Linked DNA regions of Sus scrofa. The protein of the gene in region 1 purifies or fractionates together with the protein of each later gene. This does not show direct contact. Links are inferred from orthologs where the notes say so. Each region holds a gene or a part of one and is shown in the gene's direction. Other genes may lie near its edges.

Evidence for each region.
Region 2: the proteins of NKAP (region 1) and RNPS1 purify together in Homo sapiens (co-immunoprecipitation; 3 studies listed by BioGRID and IntAct, counting the BioPlex papers as one, with this or other methods). This does not show direct contact. The link is inferred for Sus scrofa from reciprocal best matches to the Homo sapiens genes NKAP and RNPS1.
Region 3: the proteins of NKAP (region 1) and CSNK2A2 purify together in Homo sapiens (affinity purification with mass spectrometry; 5 studies listed by BioGRID and IntAct, counting the BioPlex papers as one, with this or other methods). This does not show direct contact. The link is inferred for Sus scrofa from reciprocal best matches to the Homo sapiens genes NKAP and CSNK2A2.

What each region holds. Positions count from the first base shown.
Region 1 is NC_010461.5:98,271,696-98,279,860, reverse strand, and holds the start of NKAP (NF-kappa-B-activating protein), read left to right. Parts: upstream 1-3,021; 5' UTR 3,022-3,197; coding exon 3,198-3,583; intron 3,584-7,181; coding exon 7,182-7,262; intron 7,263-8,165. UniProt on the Homo sapiens protein: Acts as a transcriptional repressor. Plays a role as a transcriptional corepressor of the Notch-mediated signaling required for T-cell development. Also involved in the TNF and IL-1 induced NF-kappa-B activation.
Region 2 is NC_010445.4:39,735,025-39,743,270, forward strand, and holds the start of RNPS1 (RNA-binding protein with serine-rich domain 1), read left to right. Parts: upstream 1-4,033; 5' UTR 4,034-4,341; coding exon of another isoform or gene 4,342-4,343; 5' UTR 4,344-4,733; exon of another isoform or gene 4,734-5,171; intron 5,172-7,481; 5' UTR 7,482-7,598; coding exon 7,599-7,669; intron 7,670-7,913; coding exon 7,914-8,069; intron 8,070-8,246. UniProt on the Homo sapiens protein: Part of pre- and post-splicing multiprotein mRNP complexes. Auxiliary component of the splicing-dependent multiprotein exon junction complex (EJC) deposited at splice junction on mRNAs.
Region 3 is NC_010448.4:20,011,817-20,019,859, reverse strand, and holds the start of CSNK2A2 (casein kinase II subunit alpha'), read left to right. Parts: upstream 1-3,135; coding exon 3,136-3,239; intron 3,240-4,025; coding exon 4,026-4,137; intron 4,138-8,043.

The sequences.
Region 1 (8,165 bases):
TTTATTTTTAAATTTTTCATTTTTTGCTTTTTAGGGCCTCACCCACCTCACATGGAAGTTCCCAGGCTAGAGGTCAAATTGGAGCTACTGTTGCTGGCCTACACCACAGCCACAGCAATGAGGGATCTGAGCAGCATCTGCAACTTACTCCACAGCTCACGGCAACGCCAGATCCCGGACCACTGAGCAAGGCCAGAGATTGAACCTGCATCCTCATGAACACTAGTCAGATTCACTTCCACTGCACCACAATAGGAACTCCCTTAATTTTATTTTTATTATTATTATTATTTGCTTTTTTTAGGGCCACACCCGCAGCACATGGAGATTCCCAGGCTGGGGGTCTAATCGGAGCTACATCTGCCGGCTTACACCACAGCCAGAGCAATGCAGGATCTGAGACGCCACTGCAACCGTCACCACAGCCCACGGCAACACCGAATCTTCAACCCACTGAGCAAGGCCAGGGATTGAACCCTCTACCTCATGGTTCCTAGTCGGATTCGTTTCTGCTGCACCACAAAGGGAACTCCATGAACTCCCTTAATTTTAATTTTAATTTTTTATGGCTACACTCAGAACATATGGAAGTTCCTGGGCCAGGAATTGAATCCAGACACAGCTGTGACCTAACCTAAGCTGAAGCTGTGGCAATGCCCAATCCTTTAACCCACTGCGCTGGGCTAGAGAACCAAACCAGGGCCTCCTCAGTGACTAGAGCCACTGCAGTTGGAGTCTTAACCCACTTCGCCACAGTGGGAATTCCCTGATAGGTTGCTTCTTAAGAGGAAAGCCTCAGAGGCCATCTAGTTACTGATAGACTGGATTCAGAATTTCCACAGCGAACTCCCTGTGCCTTCAAAAATTAAGATTGATAGAAAGGAAATTATCAACAAAACGAGAAGACAACCTACCTAATGGAAGAGAACACTTGCAGATGACATGATTGATAAAAAAATATATAAACAGAGCATACGACTCAATATAAAAAAACAAGCAGATTAAAAAATGGGCAGAGGGACAGAACATTGTAAATCAACTATAATAAAAAAATTTTAGGAGTTCCCGTCGTGGCGCAGTGGTTAACGAATCCGACTAGGAACCATGAGGTTGCAGGTTCGGTCCCTGGCCTTGCTCAGCGGGTTAACGATCCGGCGTTGCCGTGAGCTGTGGTGTAGGCTGCAGACGCGGCTCGGATCCTGCGTTGCTGTGGCTCTGGCGTAGGCCGGTGGCTACAGCTCCGATTCGACCCCTAGCCTGGGCACCTCCATATGCCGCGGGAGCGGCCCAAGAAATAGCAACAACAACAACAACAAAAGACAAAAAGACAAAAGACAAAATAAATAAATAAATAAATAAATTTTAGGAGTTCCCGTCATGGCGCAGCGGAAATGAATCCAACTAGGAAACATGAGGTTGCGGGTTTGATCCCTGGCCTCGCTCAGTGGGTTAAGGGATCCGGCATTGCCGTGAGCTGTGGTGTAGGTCACAGATGCGGCTCAGATTTGGTGTTGCTGTGGCTCTGGCGTAGGCTGGCAGCAACAGCTCCGGTTAGACCCCTAGCCTGGGAACCTTCATATGTCACCGGTGCGGACCTAAAAGGACAAAAGACAAAAAATAAAAACAGTATAAAATGAATAGAAACAATGACCAGTAACCATGTATTGTTGAGCTATCATATGGAGACGGAAGAAAAAGGCACAACCTAAAAGCTGCCAGTTATGTTTCATTCAGGGACTTTACTGAGGACTATAGCCCGGACACAGCCTCTTAGGTTGCTCAGAGGAACTGTTCCAAAGACGTAAGGGAGGAGCCAGGATATATAGGAGTTTTGCTGAAAAAAAAAAAAAAGTAGTTTGGCATCAAAAGATTATTGCTAATCACAAAAAAAGTTATCTGAAGTTAATGATGTTAGGGCTTTTCTCTGTATGGGAAGATGCCAGAGTCTGTGCTCATTGATATTAATCCTTAGGGAGGGAGTGGGATGGACTAGGAATTTGGGGCTAGCAGATGCAAACTATATAGCATTTGGAGTGGATAAGTAATAAGATCCTGCTGTATAGCCCAGGGAACTCTATCACTGTGATGGAACATGATGGAGGATAATGTGAGAAAAAGAATGTAAATATATGTATAACTGGGTCACTTTACTGTACAACAGAAATTGGCAGAACATTGTAAATGAATTATATTTTTAAATAAAAAAGAAAGTATCCCTTAGATATGCATCTTAACTATTTAGTCCCAGTATCCTGGTTTTTTTTTTTTTTTTTTCAACATCCTGGATTCCCTTCAGGGGCAGGGAGGGGTCCAGACTGCAGCGGCTGATGACTTGATGGTGGGGAACATTGGTTGTTTACTGAAATGGTAGCCCAACATTTTTTTGTCCTCATATTTGATGGGACCAGTTTAAGGAGCTAGGCAAGGAGAGGGTTATTAATTCCTTTTGCTGGAGCACATTGGTGGTGATGGATGGCTGGGGGATAAATACTGTGCTGCGAACCTAATTAGAATGTATGAAGATCCCACGTTGCCTGCAGCTGTGGCGTAGGTCGAAACTGAAGCGCAGGTTCGATCCCTGGCCCAGGAACTTCCACATGCCACGGGGGCTGGGGGGCGGGGTGCAGCAAAAAAAAAAAAAAGTATCGGGCTCAAATCATTAATACATATTTTGTTCCCTCTAAGCTAACTAGGTAATACGGGGCTTAGGCACTATACTCTCCACCAGTTTAGATGAATTCTATGCGCGCACACACACACACACACACACACACACACACATTCCACATACACATATTTATTTATTTACACCGGATTTACTGTTCACACGGCCGCTCAGTGACATGTGTCCTTCGACCTGTCGTCCGTCCCTTCAGGTATTTCAACTGGAGGCTGAACTTAGTACCAAGTCTCCAGTAGGCTTAGATTTAAGCAGCCCCACTAGGAACCAGAAGGATGAACCTATGGAGTTGCTCCACCGGCTTCTTTATATAGACACACACATCGCCGTCCCATCGGTAACAGGCCTGCCTCGGTCCGGGGACGGAATTTGCCGACGTACCCGGAACTGTTTCCAAGGTTTCCTCAGGTTCGGGTGGTGGCGCGGCCGCGGGTCCTGGGAGCCAAGGCAACCAAGATCTTCCCCGGCTCGCGAGAGCGCCCCCTTCTCCCACGGCTTCGGGGAACCAGTGGCAGCGATGGCTCCGGTGTCTGGCTCCCGCAGCCCAGAGTGGGAGGCCTCAGGTTCCGGGGGGAAGCGTCGCAGTTCGTCGAAGAGCCCTAAGCCTTGCAGCAAATCCTCTCGCTCCCCGCGGGGCCGCCGCTCTCGCTCGCACTCTTGCTCTCGGTCCGGGGACCGGAATGGCCTTAGCCATCAGTCGAGTGGCCCCAGCCAAGGCTCCAGAAACCAGTCCTACAGATCCCGTTCTCGGTCACGCTCTCGAGAGCGGCCCTCGGCTCCGCGGGGCGCCCCTTTCGCTTCTGCCTCGTCCGCCTATTATGGCGGCTACTCACGCCCCTACGGCAGTGACAAGCCATGGCCTAGCCTCCTGGACAAGGAGAGGGAGGAGAGCCTGCGGCAGAAGTGAGTGAAACGAACGCACCTTTTCTTTCCCGAGCCCACCAGCCTTCAGAGTCGGATTTATCGTTCATTCCGCTCCCGACTATTCCCATCTTGCTCGCTCTCCCTGGCTTGCGCCCATTTTCATCTCTTCCTTCAGTCGACCCATGATAACGCCTAATCCCCCCTTTTCTGCCCTTAGGTTTTCACTTATCCTCAGACCCCTTCACTTAGTGCCCTGGTCTCCTGCTACCCTCTTTTTGCCTCCTGGCTTGTAGCGGATATAGCCAAGAGCTTCAGACCTACCGGAATTGTAGCATTTTCTTGGTGGTATTGTTATCGTTCTTGAGCATGTTTTCATTCCCCACTAGACTGAAAGGAGGAGCACGGTTTTATTGATCACAAAATTCACAGTGCCTAGCACTTTATAGGCGCGCAATCATCGCTTGTTGAATGGTCAGACAGGTTTGAGATGATAACAGGATTAGTGAGTGGAATTGTTTTCTAGCGATTTGGGAAGGGTTGAGATGAAAGGTTTAAATTGGACGGGAGGAAAATCTCCGAAACAAGATGATTGAATAAATGTAGGAAAAGTGATCTGCTAAACTGTAGATTGGGCTACATTGAGAAAGGTCTTGTTAAGTGGTCTCAATCTTGACCATGAAAAATGAGGTCAGGGTGAGATCAGATCTCCTCTAATGAGAGTGAATACTGGAGTGGAAAAATGAATAGTTTAAGAAGGAGAAATGAAAAGATTTATAATTATTACTTTGTAATTTTTAAAAATTTTTACTTTTTAAAATTTGAAGTATAGTCGATATGCAGTGTTATATGTTACAGGTGTACAGTATAGTAATTCACAATTTTAATTTGTTAATTTTTTAAATTTACTTCATTTATAGTTATTATATGCTTTGTAAGTTTGTTTTTTGTTTGCTTTTTAGGGCCGCATCTGTGGCATAAGGAAGTTCCCAGGCTAGGGGTAGAATCAGAGCTATAGCTGCTGACCTATGTCACAGCAACACAGGATCTGAGCCGTGTCTGTGACCTACACCATAGCTCATGGCAATGCCAGATCCTGAACCCACTAAGCAAGGCCAGGGATAGAACCCACATCCTCATAGATACGAGTCCGATTCATTTCCACTGTGCCACGATGGGAACTCCCTGTAAGTCTTAATATCTAATGCTTGTTGAGTGTTAAATTGTGTGTCAGGCACTGTGCTGAGAACTTTACCATGCTATATGTGTTAAATTTTTTTTTAGGTATAACAGGCATTGAGGGGCAGGTTAAGGTTCTAACAGGTGGGAGGTGTCATCATGAATCTTTTTCTTCCAGGAGTGGGAGGTAGTAAAGCATAGTGATGAAGAGGACAGGCTCCAGAATCAGACTGCTTGAGTTTGAAGCTGTCCTTTGCTACTTAATAGTTGTGTAACCTTGGGCAAGTTACTTAACCTCTCTGAGTTTCATATCTTCACCATTTTTTTTTTCATCTTTTGTCTTTTTTTTAGGGCCGCAGCTGCATCATATGGAGGTTCCCAGGCTAGGGATCTAATTGGAGCTGTTGCTGCTGGCCTATGCCAGAGCCGAAACAATGCCATATCTGAGCTGTGTCTTCAACCTTCACCATAGCTCACAGCAATGCCACATCCTTAACCCACTGAGCAATGCTAGGGATCGAACCCGCAACCTCATGATCCCTAGTCGGATTCGTTTCCACTGCACCAGGATGGGAACTCCTATCTTCACCATTTAAAAGGGAATAAAATTAGCACAAAAGCTTTTGGAGTTATGATAATTTAGTGCCTGGGACATAATAAATAGTCCTTAAGTGTTAGCTATTAGGGTTTTGTGCATGGGAATAAAAACAGTAAAAACAGTCCTGAGCTATGTTGGAGACCAACCTCCACAAATTAAAATTTTTAGAAAGTTTGCGTTGATCAGAAAGTGTACAGCTTCCTTATTAGATATTACTCATCAACAGATGTCAGAATTTCTTGGATGAAATTTGCATCTGTACATTTAGAAGATAAATAGTTACAGAGTACAGGTGAAGTCTGGTGGCAGCAGGGAAGCGAACTTGACTGCTTGCTCTTTACAACCAGTCCAGGATTGTTCCTCCTGTATGTATATATATGAAGTTTGGCTGTAAGTATATCTCCTTTTAGATTTTCTATTAAACCTGGGATCAAACCTGAGTCACAGCAGTGACAACACTGACTCCTGGGCCACCAGGAAACTGCAGGTTTTTTTGTTTTTTATTTTTTAATTTTTTTAAAATTTTATTTTTGTTACTATTTTTTTGCTTTTTAGGGCTACACCTGCGGCATATGGAGGTTCCCAGGTGAGGGGTTGAATAGGAGTTGTAGCTGCCGGCCTACACCACAGCCACAGCAACACAGGATCCGAGTCATGTCTGCATCCTACACCACAGCTCATAGCAACACCAGATCCTTAACCCATTAAGCAGGGCCAGGGATCAAACCCGAGTCCTCATGGATACTAGGCGGATTTGTTAATTGCTGAGCCACGACGGGAACTCCTGTTTTTAATTTTTTTAATTTTTGTTTATTTATTTAGTTTTTCTTTTTAAGGCTGCACCTGCAGCATATGGAGTTCCCAGGCTAGGGGTCGAATCAGAGCTGTAGCCTCTGGCCCATGCCAGAGCCACAGCAACACCAGATCCGAGCTGTGTCAGCGACCTACACCACAGCTCACAGCAACGCCAGATCCTTAACCCACCAAGCGAGGCCAGGGATCGAACCCACAACCTCATTGTTCCTAGTCGAATTCATTTCCTCTGCGCCACAACATTAACTCCTAATGCTTCATTTTTTATTTTCTTCATTGATTGCTGAGTTTCTGAAAGCAGGTTTGACCATATCAAAGTAGAGACTTCTCTTTACTTTCGTTAATATGCATAAACCAAGGAAATGATTTCCAAATGTGAGACTGTTTCTGGGACATATTGCAGAAGATGAAATGAGCAGTTAGGGGCTATGTCATGTGAGCAGTGAAAGGGTTGCACTTGACAGCTTCCCAGGCTGCATTTGTGGCCCAGCCTGTCTGGCCGTCTGTAGTCTGTACCATTTGATGGTTCTATTAGAACATCAGATCCTAAGTGTTGAGTATACCAAATTTTTATTAAAGTTTATTTTATTTTTTATTTTTTTAAGAAGGTCTGTGTGTGTGTGTGTGTGTGTGTGGTGTGTGTGTGTGTGTATGCATAGCTAGACCTGTCTTTTTTTTTTTTTTTTTTTTTGTCGTTTCTAGGGCTGCTCCCACGGCATATGGAGGTTCCCAGGCTAGGGGTCGAATCGGAGCTGTAGCCGCCGGCCTACGCCAGAGCCACAGCAACTCGGGATCCGAGCCGCATCTGCAACCTACACCACAGCTCACGGCAACGCCAGATCCTTAACCCACTGAGCAAGGGCAGGGACTGAACCCGCAACTTCATGGTTCCTAGTCGGATTCGTTAACCACTGAGCCACGACGGGAACTCCTATTAAAGTTTAAAGTGTAAAGAGAAAATAGGTTTTAACTGGACTCCTTTGAATTTTATTATGTATTTAGGAAACAGTTTAGCCATGGAGTTATAATTTACTTTCCTGTCTGTTCTAGGAGATTAAGTGAGAGAGAGAGGATTGGAGAACTTGGAGCTCCTGAAGTATGGGGACTTTCTCCAAAGAATCCAGAACCAGAGTAAGTGATTTTAAAATATATTTTTAAAATGTAATATTTGTTTAAATCTAGAATATATTGTCAAAATTTTTAAGTGCAGAACTTAAGTACAGGTCACTTTCCCCCCTCTTTCTTGTGATTTATGCTATTCTACGTCTTAAGTTTTATTTATTTATTTATTTATTTATTTATTTATTTTGCCTCTTCTAGGGCCGCTCCCTCAGCATATGGAGGTTACCAGGCTAGGGGTCTAATCGGAGCTGTAGCCTCCAGCCTATGCCAGAGCCACAGCATGGTTCCTAGTCGTTTCCGCTGCGCCATGACGGGAACTCCCTCTACTTCTTAAATTTTAAAACCATTGAATATACCTAAGGAATAAAACATATACCTAGTGGATTTTAGCATTTTAATTGTTCTCTTTAGATTGTTATTCATGGGGTGCTAATTTCCTATTTATAGAAGGGTTTAATGTTGAAACAAGTATGTGTGTGTGTGTGGTGTGTGTGTGTGTGTGTGTGTGTGAGTGTATTTTTTTTTTTCCCTTTTTGGCCGTGCCCTTGGCATGGGGAAGTTCTCAGGCCAGGAATCAAACCCTTGCCACAGCAATGATGATGCCAGACCCTTAACCCACTAGGCCACCGTTTGTATTATTTTGAATTTTTTTTCTCAATCCCATAACTGATTACCTGTTAGACATTAGCATTACAAAGGGTTGTGGGCTTTTTTGGTTTTTGTTTTTGTCTTTTAGGGCCACACCTGCAGCATATAGTGGTTCCCAGGCTAAGGGTCCAATCAGAGTTGAAGTCGCTGGCCTACACCACAGCCACAGCAACGCCAGATCCTAGCCATGTCTGCGACCTACACCACAGCTCATGGCAACGCTGGATCCTTAACCCACTGAGCAAGACCAGGGATCAAACCCAC
Region 2 (8,246 bases), on another chromosome or scaffold:
ACCCCTGCATGGAGGAGATGGCCTACAGAGGTTCTGAGAAGCACCCCAACACCAACGTCAGGGTTAGGCTGCTCACCCAACCCTGCGGCTGAGGCCAGCAAGCCGAGGGCACATCATGCCACCCTCCAGACACCAGGCCCCATCCCTGAACCCTACTCAGGTCTGACCCCAAGCCGTGGCGTGTTCGAGCTCCTACAGCCCCTCTCCCTTCCGCAAGGGAGGGCAGGGCTCCCTGAGCGGGGTTCAGGGTAGAGGGGTGCCCAAGAAGGAGAAAGAGCCAGGAGGCAGCCCAGCCCTGGGCCCCGGAGCCTCGTCCCCATCTGACAGGCATGCGGGCCTGGGCTTCAGGCAGGCTGGAGGAGCAGCTGAAGCTGGGGGTCGGGCCCGGGAAGCGGGGGCCCTGCCTTCCTTCCTCAACACACGGGGCTGCCCAGGCCCCGCTCCTGGGGCCTGGCCCATACCCCAGAGATGCCAACTTGGATGCCTCCAAGGTCTGAGAAGCCCCGAATCCACCGGCTGCGGGTGGCCAGAGGGAAGCCAGGGGCCAGCCAGGGGCCAGGGCATCTCGTGCAGGCCTGCGGCACCCCTGCTCCCCTTCTCCGGCCTGGACCCTCCCAGGCTGGGCAACTGAGCTAGCATGATGCTTGACCCCCTTGGGGCAGAAGTAGACCCGGGGTCTCGGGCATGAAAACCAGCACAGGCTCCCAAGCCCACTGCTCACAGCCCCGGCCACACGGCCCCTCCAATAGGCAGCCTGTGCCTCCTGGGGGGACCTCATTGGAAACTGATGCCCCAACACCTTGGGAATGCAGCTCTCCTGGAGCCCGGAAGGCCTCCCCACAACTCCAGACCCTCATTGGCTGGCTGGCCTGCTCAGACTGGCCAGCACCTCTTCCTGGGCTCCTTCAGGGCTGCAGGCGTTCGCCCCCACAGACAGGAGCCAGGTTACCTGCTCCTCTAATGCCTCCCTCGGGGTCACCAAGCCGTCCCCATCTCCCTGACCCCACCCGAATCTCTTTCTTCCACTGAGCTGGGCCGTGCCCGCCCTTAGCACAGAGCCTGTCAGCAACGGATAGAAGTGCTTCCTGGAGTTCCCATTGTGGCTCAGTGGTTAACGAACCCGACTAGGAACCATGAGGTTGCGGGTTCAATCCCTGGCCTTGCTCAGTGGGTTAAGGATCTGGCACTGCCGTGAGCTGTGGTATAGGTCGCAGACGCGGCTCAGATCCCGAGTTGCTGTGGCTCTGGCATAGGCCGGTGGCTACAGCTCCGATTAGACCCCTAGCCTGGGAACCCCCATATGCCACGAATGTGGCCCTGGAAAAGCTAAAAAGAGAAAAAAAAAAAAAAAGAAGTGCTTCCTTGACATTTTGTACAAGGAGATGTGATGCCTGCTCAAAGCTCCCGTGTGGCCCACCGTGACCTCCTACACAACCCAGGCCATCCCTGACCCTTTCAGTGTGCAGGGTACCAACCTCCAAGGGCAGGCACCGCAGAGGCCATCAGGCCCATAGCGGATAAAGCAGGGGGACATTCAGCCTTGAGGCGAGTAGGCTCTCAACGTGCGGCAGCCCCTCATGGGAAGCAGGTGGCCCTCGGCCCTGTGGGAAAAGGAAGTGGGCTCGGGACACGGGCCAGAGCCCACAGGATGCCCGTGGTGCGGAGCCCCAGGCCTGGGGCTAGCTGCCCAATGCCCTGTCCACGGGAGTCCGCCCCCCACTTCCCTCGCACCTGAGCCAGAGACCCCCAGAGGCCCCCAATCCCTATGGCCTCAGCAGGTTGCCACTGGGGGCCGGGAGGGGAGAGGCCCAGGCCTCCTGGAAGGCTGGGGTCTGGGGACCACTGGAGTTTTATTTTCTCATGTTCCTTCCAAACATGTTCCGCTGCTTCTCAAAGTGGCAAAAGCCCAGATGCTTAGATTTCAAAGCTCAACAGCTGATGATAAAATCAACAATATTCAGAACCAAATTTGATTAAATTCCTAAGTGTCTGACTAAATCATGCTTTTAGATTTAATATAAAATGTGTTGAAAGTTATATGCATGCCAAATTCTATGACTTCGGAGCATGAACAACAGAAAACCCAGAAGGGGCTGTCAGCCCAGCTGCCTGTGCCTCCTCCATGCGCCTCGGTGGGACCACAGGGCCTGCCTCATCCCCACCTAGGTTGTCACCACCTCCCTGGACAACGGCTCTGGATTCAAGGCCTTTCAGGTACACATCGACTTGGCCCAGGATGTGTGGGACTCTGACCCGCTGCCATGGGCTCCTCATTGACTCCCCGCACGGCAGGCAGGGCCCAGCAAGACCACGACATCCCCAACACCGACCCCCTGGGCCCCTTAACTGCTTGTTGCAGGGCCAGGGCTGCGGCTCTGTTACAATTATACCACCACCTGGCCTGGCCAATGTGACCATGATGCCGAGGTCATATACCTTCTCTAAATGGCCCCCACTCCCCAAATCTAAATCCAGAGGGAGAACCACAACCCGGACTGACTCCGCCTGCCAAGCCCCCTCCCAGGAGTGTGCAGAGGCCTCAGCAGAGAGGCCTCCAAAGGGAGGCTGCCCCTGCCTGTCTTTTGTCCCCGACTCCTCAGACACCCCTCAACCCAGGATGAGGTATCAAAGGCACCGTCCAGGTGCCCATCTCTGGCCCATCTCCGCACCACAGTGGTTCCTTTCCCCGGAACACACCCTGGATCTGCTCTCTTCTCTTCCCTGCTGAGTCTACCTGTTCCACCTGTTCTGAGACAGGGGTGCACCTTCCTCCCCTCCTTCCAATAAGGAAGGAAGCAGGTACACAGCAGTCAACAAACCCTGCAAGCCCTGGCCCTCTCAGAGCCGGGTTTTACTCCAACAGCCTCCTGCCTGGTCCTGGGCCTCTAAACCTCACCCTCTTGCCGTTGCCAGGAGGCTCTGGCAATGCCTCCCCGCCTGCGCCGTCCACCAGCCCCGGGATGAAGCCTTGGCGCCTTATCTTGCACACCTTCCAAGTTCCCCCCAAATGCTAAACTCCACCTTCCTAGCCCCGGCTTCTGCCAGCAAGCCTCTGCGCCTTTGCACCTGCTCTTCTCTCGGCTGAGGGCACCCTTCCACTTGGGTCTCAGCTGCAGTGTCACCTCCGCAGAGGCGCCTTGACTTCTGCACCTAGTCTTCTCTTTTTATTTTATTTTATTTTATTTTTTGTCTTTTTGCCATTTCTTGGGTCTCTCTCGCTGCATATGTTGGTTCCCAGGCTAGAGGTAGCCGCCGGCCTACGCCAGAGCCACTGCAATGCAGGATCCGACCTGCGCCTGCGACCTACACCACAGCTCACGGCAACACCGGATCCTTAACCCACTGAGCAAGGTCAGGGATCGAACCCACAACCTCATGCTTCCTAGTCAGATTGGTTAACCACTGAGCCACAATGGGAACTCCTTCTTTTTTAAATTTTTAATGTATTTATTTATTGTCTTTTTAGGGCCGCATGTGCGGTATTTGGAGGTTCCCAGGTCAGGGAGCGAATCGGAGCTGCAGCTGCCAGCCTACGACACAGCCACAGCAACACCAGATCCCAGCCGCGTCTGCGACCTTACATCACAGCTCATAGGCAACGCCGGATCCTTAATCCACTAATTAAGGCCAGGGATCTAACCGGCGTCCTTATGGACTGTAGTCAGACTTGTTTCCCCTGAACCACGACGGGGACTCCTGCACCTCGTCTTCTACCCTGTCTTTTGCTGCCCGTCCTTTCTGACGGCACTACCCCGTCTTACCCACCCGGCCGAGTTCCGCTGGAGTAAAAGCTGCGTCTGCCTGGCCACTCCCTGAGAGGCTTCTAACCGCACGAACCCTCTGCCCGGCCGGTCCCCACGGCGGTCGGCTAGAGGCCGCGGCACCTGCGCACTCCTCCCCCAACCCCGCCGCCCGAAACTCCGGGTCTCAGGCCCAGCGCCCACGGACCGCACCAAGCCCGCGGCGAGCCTAGGACGCAGGCGCACGGAGAGGGGCAGGGCCGCCTTAACCCGCCCCGCGCCGGCCCGCGAGCTACCACGCAGCACGGCCCTCCCAGCCCCAGCAAGCTGCCAGTTTGCCCGCCCTATGCGCCGCGCAGCCAGCCCCTGGCGGCCCAAGACGCCCCTCCCGAGAGGGGAACCAAAGTACGCGCTCCAACGCGGGGTGCTACACACGACCTTGGCTCTTTAACATTCTCCTTGCTCGCGCTCATTGGCTGAGGCGCTCTACGTCATCGCTGCGCGCCGGACGACGGCGCCTTCCCGCTCCCTAATCCTGACGCCAGAGCGGCGCCGGCCTCGGCGGCTGAGGAAAGCGGGAGGAGGTCTCGGCGGCGGGAAGATGTAAGTTGCGGGAATCCGACCCCATCCGAGCTTCGGGGGCCGCTCGCCAAGGTCGGCGGGGTGCATCGTGAAGCCGGCCCTCTCCCCGGCCCCGCGGTGGCAACGGCGGCCTAGCGGCGCGGTGTAGTTCTTAAGAAGAAAGAGTGGCCAGAGGAGAGCTGAGTAGGAGGCGCCGAGGCCGCGGCCCGGAAGTGGTCGGGGCTGCGGCGGGCGGAAGGGCGCCCTCGCTTCGTCTTCTCTGCGGCGGGCCCAGGGAGGCCCGCGGAATTCGGAGCAGCCGGGAACTCGGCCTCCACCCTCAGGGTCCTCTCGCCGGGCAGGAGACCCAGGCCCGCAACGTCAGGCCCTGCCCTGGAAGCTCTCGCGGCCCGGCGCCTGGAGTGGGGAGTTGTGAGTCTACGCGGACAGGGGGCGGCGAGGTCGCGTTGGGCCCGGGGCCGGTGGGTGCAGAGTTGCTTTGTGGGGTGCCCTGGGTGACCGTCTGACCTTCCTTTTGAAGATCTTGCTTTAAACATGGAATCCACGAACATTTGTCGGACTCCTGTGTGCCGTTCTCGGTGCCCATCTTTGGGGATATGGCCCTTAATGCCTTGGAGCTCTGTTTCCCGGCTTGCCCCAGGAGGGAGGGTACGGGAAGGTTAAATATCAGTGGAGAAGAGATGTGGCTTTTTGCCTTTGTAATTTCGCATGAATATGCCTAAAACGTACTGTTCAGCGGGGAAGGGGCTCTGAAGATACGACCTGAAACGGTAGCTACTCGAGATTTAACTAGTTGTTCTCTCCTCTCTCTGGCTGTTGGACTGCGCAACTTTCCGGAGGATGGGGGAGGTAACCAGAGTCCTGTGCTGTTACCTGAACTTGTGTAAACAGAGAACGTCAACCATTGCTTTCTACCACCTAGGCCTCGCCCAGCGAAGCGTTTACGTACTCTGTGGTTCTTAACTTTCCAGAGTTTTAAGAATAACTTGCTAGATTTTTATTTACAAAGTACATTAGGGCAGATCTTTAGGCCTGGGGTGGGGCCCAGCAATCTGCACTCTGTCATCTGTTCAGTAAGGTTGGTTCAGTAATTGGCCACGTGTGGATATTAGGCACTTGAAACATACCCAGCCCAAAGGGGGGTGTTTAAAAGACTTGGTATGGGGAGGCGTAGATATTTTGTTAACACACTTGGATACTGATTGGTGAAAAGATAATATTTGGGGTATAGGGTGTCAGATAAATACATTACTAAAAGTTAACTACATCTGTTTCTTTTGTACTTTTTGCAAACGTGCCTGTTAGCAAAATGTTAGGGTACTCTTTCTGTTGGACCAGACTGCTCTTGGTGATCCTCTCTTGAGCATTCAGAGGTTGTGTGCGACTTTTATTTAGAGTCAGGAGTTTTTATGGGGAAAGAGCCTCCAGCGCCTTTCTTCTGAAATTAGCTGAGGTTTATTGAGCCTTAAGTAGGTGCCAAGTTTCTTTTATGGGTCAGTTTGATTTATGTCTTTGATAACTATGAGGCGTAGACTGATGAAAAATTGAGGCTAGAAAGGTTAGGTGATTTATCCAAGGTCACACAACAAAGCTCTGAACGAAAGCCGAGCAGGCTGACTCCACACTCTTAACCATTGAGTTAGACTCAATGAGTGTCTGAGGACTGACTTATCCCAGCTTGCCTGGTCCACATCTCCTGTACCGTATTATTTTAAGACTGAGCATTTTAAAAGACTGTAGCCCTGGAAAAGAGCAACAAAGGTGATGTTCTCTTTTGTATTCTCTTTGATTGTCCAAAGCTGGACACTCTTGAGTCAGTGATTATCCAACATTTTGGCACCACTGCAGACTTAGGAACAGGCTCCAAATTAGTCGGCTGTGTCCGTCCAGGTGACTTACAGGCTGTCGGGGAAGGTGAGGTGGAAGTAGTAGAAGCTAACATCCTAAGATCTCTGCTTAGAACTCAAGCAAATCCTACAAAACTTGACTGGAACCACAAAAGGCAACAGTCCCCAGGAAACGGGACCCACAATGAACTGGTAGTTGGTTCTTGAACGGTATTTACTAATGATCATTTACTGAGTACATACTGCAGTCCAGGCCTTTTGCTGAACCATCACTTACAATAACTGCGTCAATTCCAGTGTCTGCTTGTTTCCCTCCAATTTTATTTTTGAAAAAATGTGAACACACAGAAAAGTTGGGAAACTTTTGTACAGTAAATAGCCACATAACCGGGGCCACCTAGAGTCTACAATTTACATCTTTGCTGTATTTGCTTTATGTCATCCATCTTATTTTGTCTCGGGTATACCTCTCCATAACATTTCCATGTGCATATGCATCTTTAATATTTGCAACGACTGCTTTTTAATGTATTGTTCTCATGCTTTTTAACTGTTCAGAGGGGACATTTCACTTGTTCGCACTGAGTATTAAATGTTGGGGGTGGTTGTTGCTGGTTTGTTTGGGGGGATTTTTTTGTGGTTTTTTTTGTTTGTTTGTTTGTTTGTTTTTTAGGGCAGCACTTGGGGCATATGAAAGTTCCCTGGCTAGGGCCCGGATCGGAGCTGCAGCTACCAGCTGACTCGAGGCAACGCCAGATCCTTAACCCACTGAGCGAGGCTAGGGATTGAACCCGCAACCTCACAGTTCCTAGTTGGATTCGTTAACCACTGAGCCACGACAGGAACTCCCAGTATTAAATGTTTTGATGTTGGTACTTTTGAAAGGGCTTTTGTTTCCAGTCATATCATACACACTGTATTTTACAAAGGTCATAGCAATGAGACGAGATCTACTCCTGTCAGTGGATTTTCTCTGTTCTGCATGCAAATGTGATGCTGTGGTATTTTAAAGGACTGTAGGGCTCGACAGCAAACTTGTGAAAGAAAAACGGGTATTGTACCACCTGTGAAATAACAGGACACCACCACCGTGTCCTTGAGAAACCACAAGCTGAGGTTCCACCAGTGCCTCCTGCGGGAGTGGGACCCTCCCCAAGGAAATGGTGCCCGGCCATCCCAGAGGTGTTGTTCCTGGCTCTGTAGATGCTTGCTGCTTACTGTGTTCCTTGCTGCCTTCTGCTGTGCCTGGCTTTTGACCGCCAAGTCGATTTGTTGCCAATTAACCCTGTAAATCCTTTTGTCTTGTTATTAGGCTGCACTTTGGCGTAAATTGCAATCGATTAGGGATCGTTTCTCAGACTCAAGTTAGAAGTGAGAGTTCAGATAAGTGAGGCCGCCATTGCTGCTTTGAACACCTCAGAAGGGGAGAATGGATTTATCAGGAGTGAAAAAGAAGAGCTTGCTAGGAGTCAAAGAAAATAATAAAAAGTCCAGCACTAGGTAATCCTTCCTTCTGTCAGATTTTTCTAGTGCTACTTTGGGGGTACTCGTTGCTAGGGACCGTGAGAAAGGGGGAACTTGGAAATGTCTTGCATTTTACATGCAAGTGTCCTAAGCCACAGATCATTGTGCTCTGTGATTGCCTGGGATTTCTGTAGCCCTTTGGATCCCCTTTCGGGTGGTGCTGTTGCTTCAGGGTCCAGTCACCAGGGCCTGCAGTCTCACGCTCTTCCTCACCGTCCAGGGCTCCTTCTCCTACCAAACGCAAAGACCGCTCTGAGGAAAAGTCCAAGGACCGCTCTAAAGATAAAGGGGCCACCAAGGAGTCGAGCGAGAAGGACCGTGGCAGGGATAAAACTCGGAAGAGGCGCAGCGCTTCCAGTGGTAGCAGCAGCACCAGGTGGGGCTGGTGGGTTAGAGCACTGCCAGGGCCTCGCTTCCGCAGCCGTGTCTCTCTTCCTGCCCAAAGAGCCCAGAGGGCACTCTTGTCTCTTTCTCTCTTTTTTTTTTTTTTCCTTAAAGTCTAGTTGATTTACAGTGGTGTGCCAATTTTTGCTGTACAGCAAAGCGACCCAGT
Region 3 (8,043 bases), on another chromosome or scaffold:
AGGCCCACTTATTCTATAAATGGTTTTTTCTTCCAATTTTTATTTTGAGAAATTTCAAAGTACCAAAAAATTGCAAGCTCACATAGTCTTTAATCACATTCCCCAAGTGTCAACATTTCTCCTGAATCTCTCCCCTCTCCCCGTTCGTGCTTGTGCTCTCAGGAACTTATGTCTCTCTGCAGAACCGTTTGAAAGTTGCAGATATTATGATACTTCATCCCCAAACATTTGGCATGTAATTTCCAAGATCAAGAAAGTTTCTTGCCTAAACACAATATAATCCTCTCACTCATAAAACTGAACATCGATACTTTGATACTTTTATGTATTCAAGTTTCCCAAGTAGCCCCAATACGGTGTCCTTTTATCTGCATTCTTTCTCCTTCCCTTCCTCCCTCTCTCCTTCCTTTCCTTCCTCCCTCTCTCATCGGGGATTGAATCCAGAATTATACACTTTATTTAAAATAGTTACATCTCTCAGTCTCCTTTAATCAAGAGCACTACTCCAGAGGTTTTTTGGGTTTCTTTCTTTTTTTTTTTTAGAGTCCAGGCTAGCTGTTTTGCAGAAAGCTCCCCAGTTTTGATTTGTCTGATTAGATTCAAGTTAAGGTTTGGCGGCAGATGTTGTGTCCTTTCTTGGTGCAGCACATCAGAGGGTCCCTTGGTCCTTTACTGGATGATGTCAAGTGTGATTCAGGATTAGAGTGATGACCTCCAGGTTCCCCTTTGTAATTAACACGTGCTCTGTAGGGTAACACTGTATTCATTGAAAGCCTTGAGCTGTGGCAAGTGCAGGGTGAGCCAGTGGTGAGCACCTACCTAGACTCAGTTTTTGCTCTTATGCTGTTTTTACAGTGGAGGAAATAGACAATAACCTAAGAAACAAATAATTACAAGATATGCAATTTTCTGAAGAATGTGGATGGGTGTTGAGCACTATCAACTCTAATATTTAAAATGAACTTAAAGCACTGGGAACTATATCTAGTCACTTATGATGGAGCTTGATAATTTATGTGTGCCTGGGTTGCTGTACAGTAGAAAATTGACAGAACACTGTAAACCACGTATAATGGAAAAAAAATCATTAAAAAATAATAAAATGGGAGTTCCCGTCGTGGCGCAGTGGTTAACGACTCCAACTAGGAACCATGAGGTTTTAGGTTCGGTCCCTGCCCTTGCTCGGGGGGTTAGGGACCCGGCGTTGCCGTGAGCTGTGGTGTAGGTTGCAGATGTGGCTCGGATCCTGCGTTGCTGTGGCTCTGACGTAGGCCAGCAGATACAGCTCCAATTAGACCCCTAGCCTGGGAACCTCCATATGCCATGCGAGCGGCCCAATAAATGGCAAAAAAAAAATAAATAAATAAATAAAATGAACTTAAAAGTGAGACTTGGAGAGGAAAAAGGAGTCAGGCAGAGAAAAATGGAACTGGAGGGGGTAGAGGTGATGTCGGCCAAACTTGGAGGGTAGAAAAAACTGAAAGACGGGCATCTCAAGGAGAGCAATGTGTAGGGAAAGGCCCTGGTCAGATAATAATCATATTGAGCACTCAGTATCTGCTAGACACTGTTCTAAGTGTTTTTCATGGTTTATTTTGTCTAATCTGCTCCATAGTCGTGTGAGGTAGGTGCCATTACTGCTTTTATTTTGTAAAATCCACAGCATAGAGAGGTTAAGTTATTGGCCCAAGGTAACACAGCTTGTAAGTAGCAGAGCTGGCATTCAAACACGGAAGGATCTAGCTTCAGAGTTTGTTCTCTTAATTGTATCAAGAAGGAGGAAGCAGGGCCTCACCTAGAAAACAGAATATGAAAAAGGATTGGATTCAAAGCAACCCAGGCTGAGTGATTAAAAAATGTGGGATGGAAAAGCAAGACCAAAGAAAGGCCCAGAACATCAAGGAGAGAAGAGTGTTCAGGGCTAGAAGGCAACCTAATAAAATAGGCCAAAGTTTGGTTGGCCACCCCACCCTCAGTCCATACCCAACTCCTAGCCTGTCCCTTCAAGGCAGGACTCTCACAATTCTCCTGCTCTCTGTCCTCCCAAACCAAACCAAGGTATTTCTATGGTCTCAAAGTGTCTCCACACATTTTGCTTATTAATTACAAAGGGAAAAATAGGAACTTTACAGTGAGTAACTTGGCTGACTCCAACTTAACCAAGTGAGGATATGAACATAAAGAGAGTTCTTAGGGAAGGTTCTGGAAGGATATTTTGGGGAAAATGTAAGATAAGGGTTTTGTGGATGAAGAGAGAAGGGGAAGTCTGGAGGTTCAAGAGTCTGTGGGTGGCAGGGGAGAGTCTATCAGGGAAGATGGGCTGTCTCTGGGAGGGGTGGGGAAATCAGGAGTTGGAGAGGTTCTGAGTGAAAAGAGCAAGTTTCATGAGGGAGGGACTTGATGGGAACAGTTTGGGTGACAAAAGTGTCACAGCAGGGTCGGTATGAGAGGTCTGGTGGTGAAACTCTGGATGACGAAAGGGTAGAGAGCTTTGGGGTAGGGGGTCTCTAGGAGAGTCCTGGAAGAGTAGGCGAGGGGGCAAGGCTCTAGGACAGCAGCCTGTGGGCGGGGAGGCCCTGTGATGAGCGCTTTCTGCCAGACCAAGGATGGGTAGATTTGGAAGGGGATCCTGGAGGGGCGGGGTCAGGGGCGGGACCAGGCCGGCGGGCGGGTCCCCCCGCGCTGCAGGGGGCGCTGTGAGGCTGGGCGGCCCCGGGCCGGGCGTCGGCCGCTCCTAGTGAGCGCGGCCCCTTTTCCGGGTTTCCTCCTCCTCCTTCTTCGCCGCCGCTGCCGCTGCCCCTTTCCCGGCCGGCGGCTGCCGCTGCTGGTGCCGCCGACGCCGCCGCCGCCGCCTCGGGGCCGCGAGCCGAGCGGAGGCCGCCGCGGAGCGCGAGCGCCATCCGCCCCGCCGTCCCGCCGGCAGCTCCAGGGCCCGGCCGGCTTGGCCGGCGCCCCCCGCGCCCCCAGCCCGCCCGCCCCCGCGGGCCCGGCCTGGCGCGGCCGCCCGCCGCTGCGCTCCTCCTCCTCCTCCGGCGGCCCGCGGCCCGCCGCCTCCTCCGCCCGCCGCCCCGCGCCCCCCGTCGCGCCGCCGCCGCCGCCCTCGGCGCCCCGCGACGCCCCCCGGTCCCGCCCGCCATGCCGGGCCCGGCCGCGGGCAGCAGGGCCCGGGTCTACGCCGAGGTGAACAGCCTGAGGAGCCGCGAGTACTGGGACTATGAGTCTCACGTCCCGAGCTGGGGGTAAAGCCGCCGCCGCCCCCCGCCGGGCCCTCTCACTCCCACCCCCGCCCGGCCGTCCCCCCACCCCCCGCGCAAACCGCACTTGTCCCCCGCTGTCTATCTCCTCGCCTGCCCCTTTGCTGGGCCTGCGCTTCTCCGGTCTGGGGTGGGAGGTCCACTCCCCCCACCAGTGCCCTCGTCTTCCTCTCCTCCCTTCCGCTTCTCCCTCCCCGTTGTGCGTACCCCTTACCCCAGGGTATACTTCCTTACAAGTGTAGGGGTCCAGGGACCAGAGCCCGGTGGGAGTAAGGGAGCAGCCTTTCCTTTTACGCTTTGGGGTTTCTATTGGGGTGGGAAGTCAGCAGCTGTCCTCTTGAGCTATTAAAATTCTTTGCTTTTCTATTTTTTTGAAATGAGGATGGGTGGGAGGAAATTTTTTAAGGATGTCCAGATTCGCAAGGCAGGCGGTGTCTACCTTCTGGGTGTGCAATAGAAGGCAGGTGCTGGGCGGAGGGGCACCTCTGGGCCTCCGGGATGGATGCTTTGCTCACCTCTAGATTGAGTCAGACCCGTGCCTTCCACCTTATCTCCCCTAAGTTATGAGGGACCAATTAGGTTAGGAACTGCGTCTAGTGCGAGGAGCCAAGTTTATGTTGTGGCTTTCATTTAGGGAATGAGTTGTGGCATGATGTGTAGACACTTCCAAGTGCTTGATTAATGGAAGCGCCTGGATGGGGTGTGTAGTGGGCATAGGCTTGGTTAATCCTAAGTCCTGCCATTTATATTTGTCGCTCTTGGCTTTCACAGTAATCAAGATGATTACCAGCTGGTTCGAAAACTTGGTCGGGGAAAGTATAGTGAAGTATTTGAGGCCATTAACATCACCAACAACGAGAGAGTGGTTGTAAAAATTCTCAAGGTGAGTGTCTTATGAGCGGCGTTAAAGTTTCTTTTTCACAGGTCAGAAGGATATGAACTATTTCAGCCACATTCTCCAATGAGCAGTTTGAGCTCTCATTTTGCATCTGTTCTGTCTGATGTCCCTCTCCTACTCCTCCCACCTCATTTTCCTGTGAACTTTCAAGAAAATCTGCAGAAATAGGCAGACCTGTTTCAACTCTAAGTGTGATGGTTCAGGAACATGCTTGTTCTGAAATGTAATTAAAGGCTTCCAAAGTGAAACTTCCAAAGGGGCTCCATTTATTAGAAAATAAATAGGCATTCAGAAGCAAAAAGAGCCTTTTCATGAAGATCCTATCAACGCAAAGGCTCCTCAAGTACTGTATATGTTATTCCAGAAAGTTGTAAAAAAGTAGCTTCAAGGATGCATTTGAAACCTGAGTGGAGGGAACCACTCCTGTGGAAAAATGACTTGTTTTTTCCTTCTTGGTGTTAAAAGTTTCAGGTAAGATGGATATAGTGAGCCAGTAGTGCCAGGAAGATTCATTGTTGCTTATCAGCTAGTAAACGTGAAGTTGGGTTGTTTTGAATTAAAGCAAAACAACCTGTCTAGTTTATAGAACCCTGAATTTGTTAAAGATACCTTTTGTCATCTCTTGAAGGAAGGCTTGATCTTGATGAACATGAAGAGTTGGCTAAATTCTCTTCTGAGTAACTGGTTGTGTAGCTTTGATAATGTGTCAAAGGCATATAAAAAATAATTCTTAGACTCTTTTCAATGATCATTGCCTGATCATTTAATGTGCGTGCATGTCATTTAGTGAAATCACGAGAAGACCAAAGAGTTGATTAGTAGGAGCATATAAGCACTTTCACATATACAAGAGTTCCAATGTGGCCATTTTGGAGAGGCTCTGCGAACAAGAATGTAGGATTGAAAAGCTGTTTTTGTGCCTTAAGTAAAGTTGGGGCAGCTGTGTCCCGATTTAAAAAGGGAGGTCAGGCTTCGACTATCAGAAAATCACCTTTCAGAAAAGTGATTGACTCTGTTACTGCTACCATTCTAGCCTTGTGATGAAGAGGCAGGTTTGCAGAGAAATAGGCAAGTTATTTGTGCTGTCAGAAACACTGGGGGGGAGATGTGAGGAATTGATACTGAAGATAGGGAGTTTGACTCTCCTCTTCCCTAAATATGAACTGCTCCTACAAAGTCACGTGGTCTTTATTTTTTTTCTTCACAAATATTTAAAGAAATATTCCCATCAGAGAAGTCACCTGGGAAACCATACAGTTTTTTTCTGTTAAACATTAGCATAAATGTTTTTAATAGAGCTACTTAAAATCTCTCTAGGAAATAAGCAAGGCATAAATTGACATTAGGAGTACCCATATCCCACTGTTGTGCAATCAGAAGAATAAACTGCTGACTCTAAAGCAATTCCAGAAAAATGTCTAAACTTTGATGTGATGGTAGCATTTTTAGAGTAAGTATGCAACTTCCTGTGGCGTCTTTTGAAAGGGAACCACATTCAGGTGTGTATATAAGTAATAGTACATTCATTTAGGGAAGTGTCATATTGCCCTTTTGTCATCCTTGTGGAGAACTTCATAGCCTCAGTTGCTGGATAGTTTTCCCCTGCTCTAAAGATTTATAGGATATGTTTAGGGTACCCGATATGGAAACTGAAGGACATTTTTAACCAACCAGAAATTTAGGCACCAAGAAGCATATCTAACGTCACTATGTTGAAATAACCCTTGGCCAGAACTCCTGTTTCCTATTTTTTTCCTCTCTCTTACTGTTTGTTTTAGTGTTAGGTTGTAAGATCTTAACATTGAGCACAGAGTAAGTTCCAGTGTTCTAGAATAAGTCTTGGGAGGCCCCTGTGATGCTCTAGTTAATGAAGTGTTAGTTCTTAGATCTTTTTCACACACGTTCTTTTCAGGGTGCAGCCTGAACCACCTTGTTTCCACTGGTGAAAACTACTCTCAGTCTCCGTTTTTCAAAGCCCTATGACATTTCTGTCCGGATTTGTTCTATCTGAAGGATGGGGTTAGAAATTGCCTAGGATGGGAGTTCCCGCCGTGGCGCAGTGGTTAACAAATCTGACTAGGAACCATGAGGTTGCGGGTTCGGTCCCTGCCCTTGCTCAGTGGGTTAACGATCCGGCGTTGCCGTGAGCTGTGGTGTAGGTTGCAGACGCGGCTCGGATCCCGCGTTGCTGTGGCTCTGGCGTAGGCCGGTGGCTACAGCTCCGATTCAGCCCCTAGCCTGGGAACCTCCATATGCCGTGGGAGCGGCCCAAGAAATAGCAACAACAACAACAACAAAAAAAAAGAAATTGCCTAGGGTACTGTTGGATTTTCTCCTTCTAACCAGCTGAATTAAAAGTAGGTTAAAAGTATTTTATATATATATAAAAGAATAGGGGTACTTCCCGTTGTGGCTTAGTGGGTTAAGAACCCGACACAGTGTCCATGAGGATGCGGGTTTGATCCCTGACCTTAACTCAGTGGGTTAAAAAACCACTGGTGATGCAAGCTGCAGCATAGGCTGCTCGTGTGGCTCTGATTCGACCCCCTAGCCTGGGAACTTGAATATGCTGAGGGTGCAGCCATAAAAAGAAAAAAAAAATTAAAAAAGTAAAAAGAGGAGTTCCTGGTGTGGTTCAGTGGAAACAAACCTGACTAGTATCCATGAGGATGCAGATTCAATCTTGGCCTTACTCAGTAGGTTAAAGATCTGGTATTGCCATGAGGTGCGATGTAGGTCACAGACATGGCTCGGATCTGGTGTTGCCATGGTTGTGGTATAGGCTGGCACCTGCAGCTCTCTTTGACCCCTAGCCTGGGAACTTCCATATGCCACACTTGTGGCCCAAAAAAGCAAAATAAAAAATAAAAAGAATAGGAACTTGGAGTTCCCTGGTTGCTCAATGGGTTAAGGATCTGGCATGGTCACTGCTGTGGCATGGGTTCTATCCCTGACTCAGGAACTTCTGCATGCCTCAAGTGCAGCCAAAAAATAAAAATAAAAAGAATAGGGTCTTTACCCAAAGTTATGTGCCCCTATTCAGAGAAGTCAAAGTTGTGACCAATACCTACTGTGGTATTTGGCCACAGGAAATTATGTCCTTAACAGAGGGCTAGATGCGCATAATTTGGAAGAATCTAGAAAAAGGTTCCTCTTCATATAGGCCTACTGTATTTCAATTGTGGGAAGAAACTTTTTTTTTTTTTTTTTTTTGTCTTTGCCTTTTCTAGGGCTGCAACCTCAGCATATGGAGGTTCACAGGCTGGGGTCTAATCGGAGCTGCAGCTGTTGGCCTACACCAGAGCCACAGCAACACCAGATCTGAGCCGAATCTGCAACATACACCACAGCTGACGGCAATGCTGGATCTTTAACCCACTCAGTAAAGCCAGGAATTGAACCCACAACCTCATGGCTCCTAATTGGATTCGTTAACCACTGTGCCATGACGGGAACTCCTATTGTGGGAAGAAACTTATGTATTGATGTTTACATTGTGACTGAGGCAAAGGGTACATTCCTTGAGGACAGGGCTGCCTGCCTTTTTGGTCAACAAGATTTGCATCGAGTTCATTCTGATATGTGAGAATGATTAGATGGTGAATGACCACGGAGGAATTTTATATCATTTACATCAGTAGATTTCTAAATTTTTTATTTATTTATTTTTTTTGTCTTTTGTCTCTTTTTTTTTGTTGTTGTTGTTGTTGTTACTGTTGCTATTTCTTGGGCCGCTCCCTCGGCATATGGAGGTTCCCAGGCTAGGGGTTGAATCGGAGCTGTAGCCACCGGCCTACACCAGAGCCACAGTAACGCGGGATCCGAGCCGCGTCTGCAACCTACACCACAGCTCACGGCAACGCCGGATCGTTAACCCACTGAGCAAGGGCA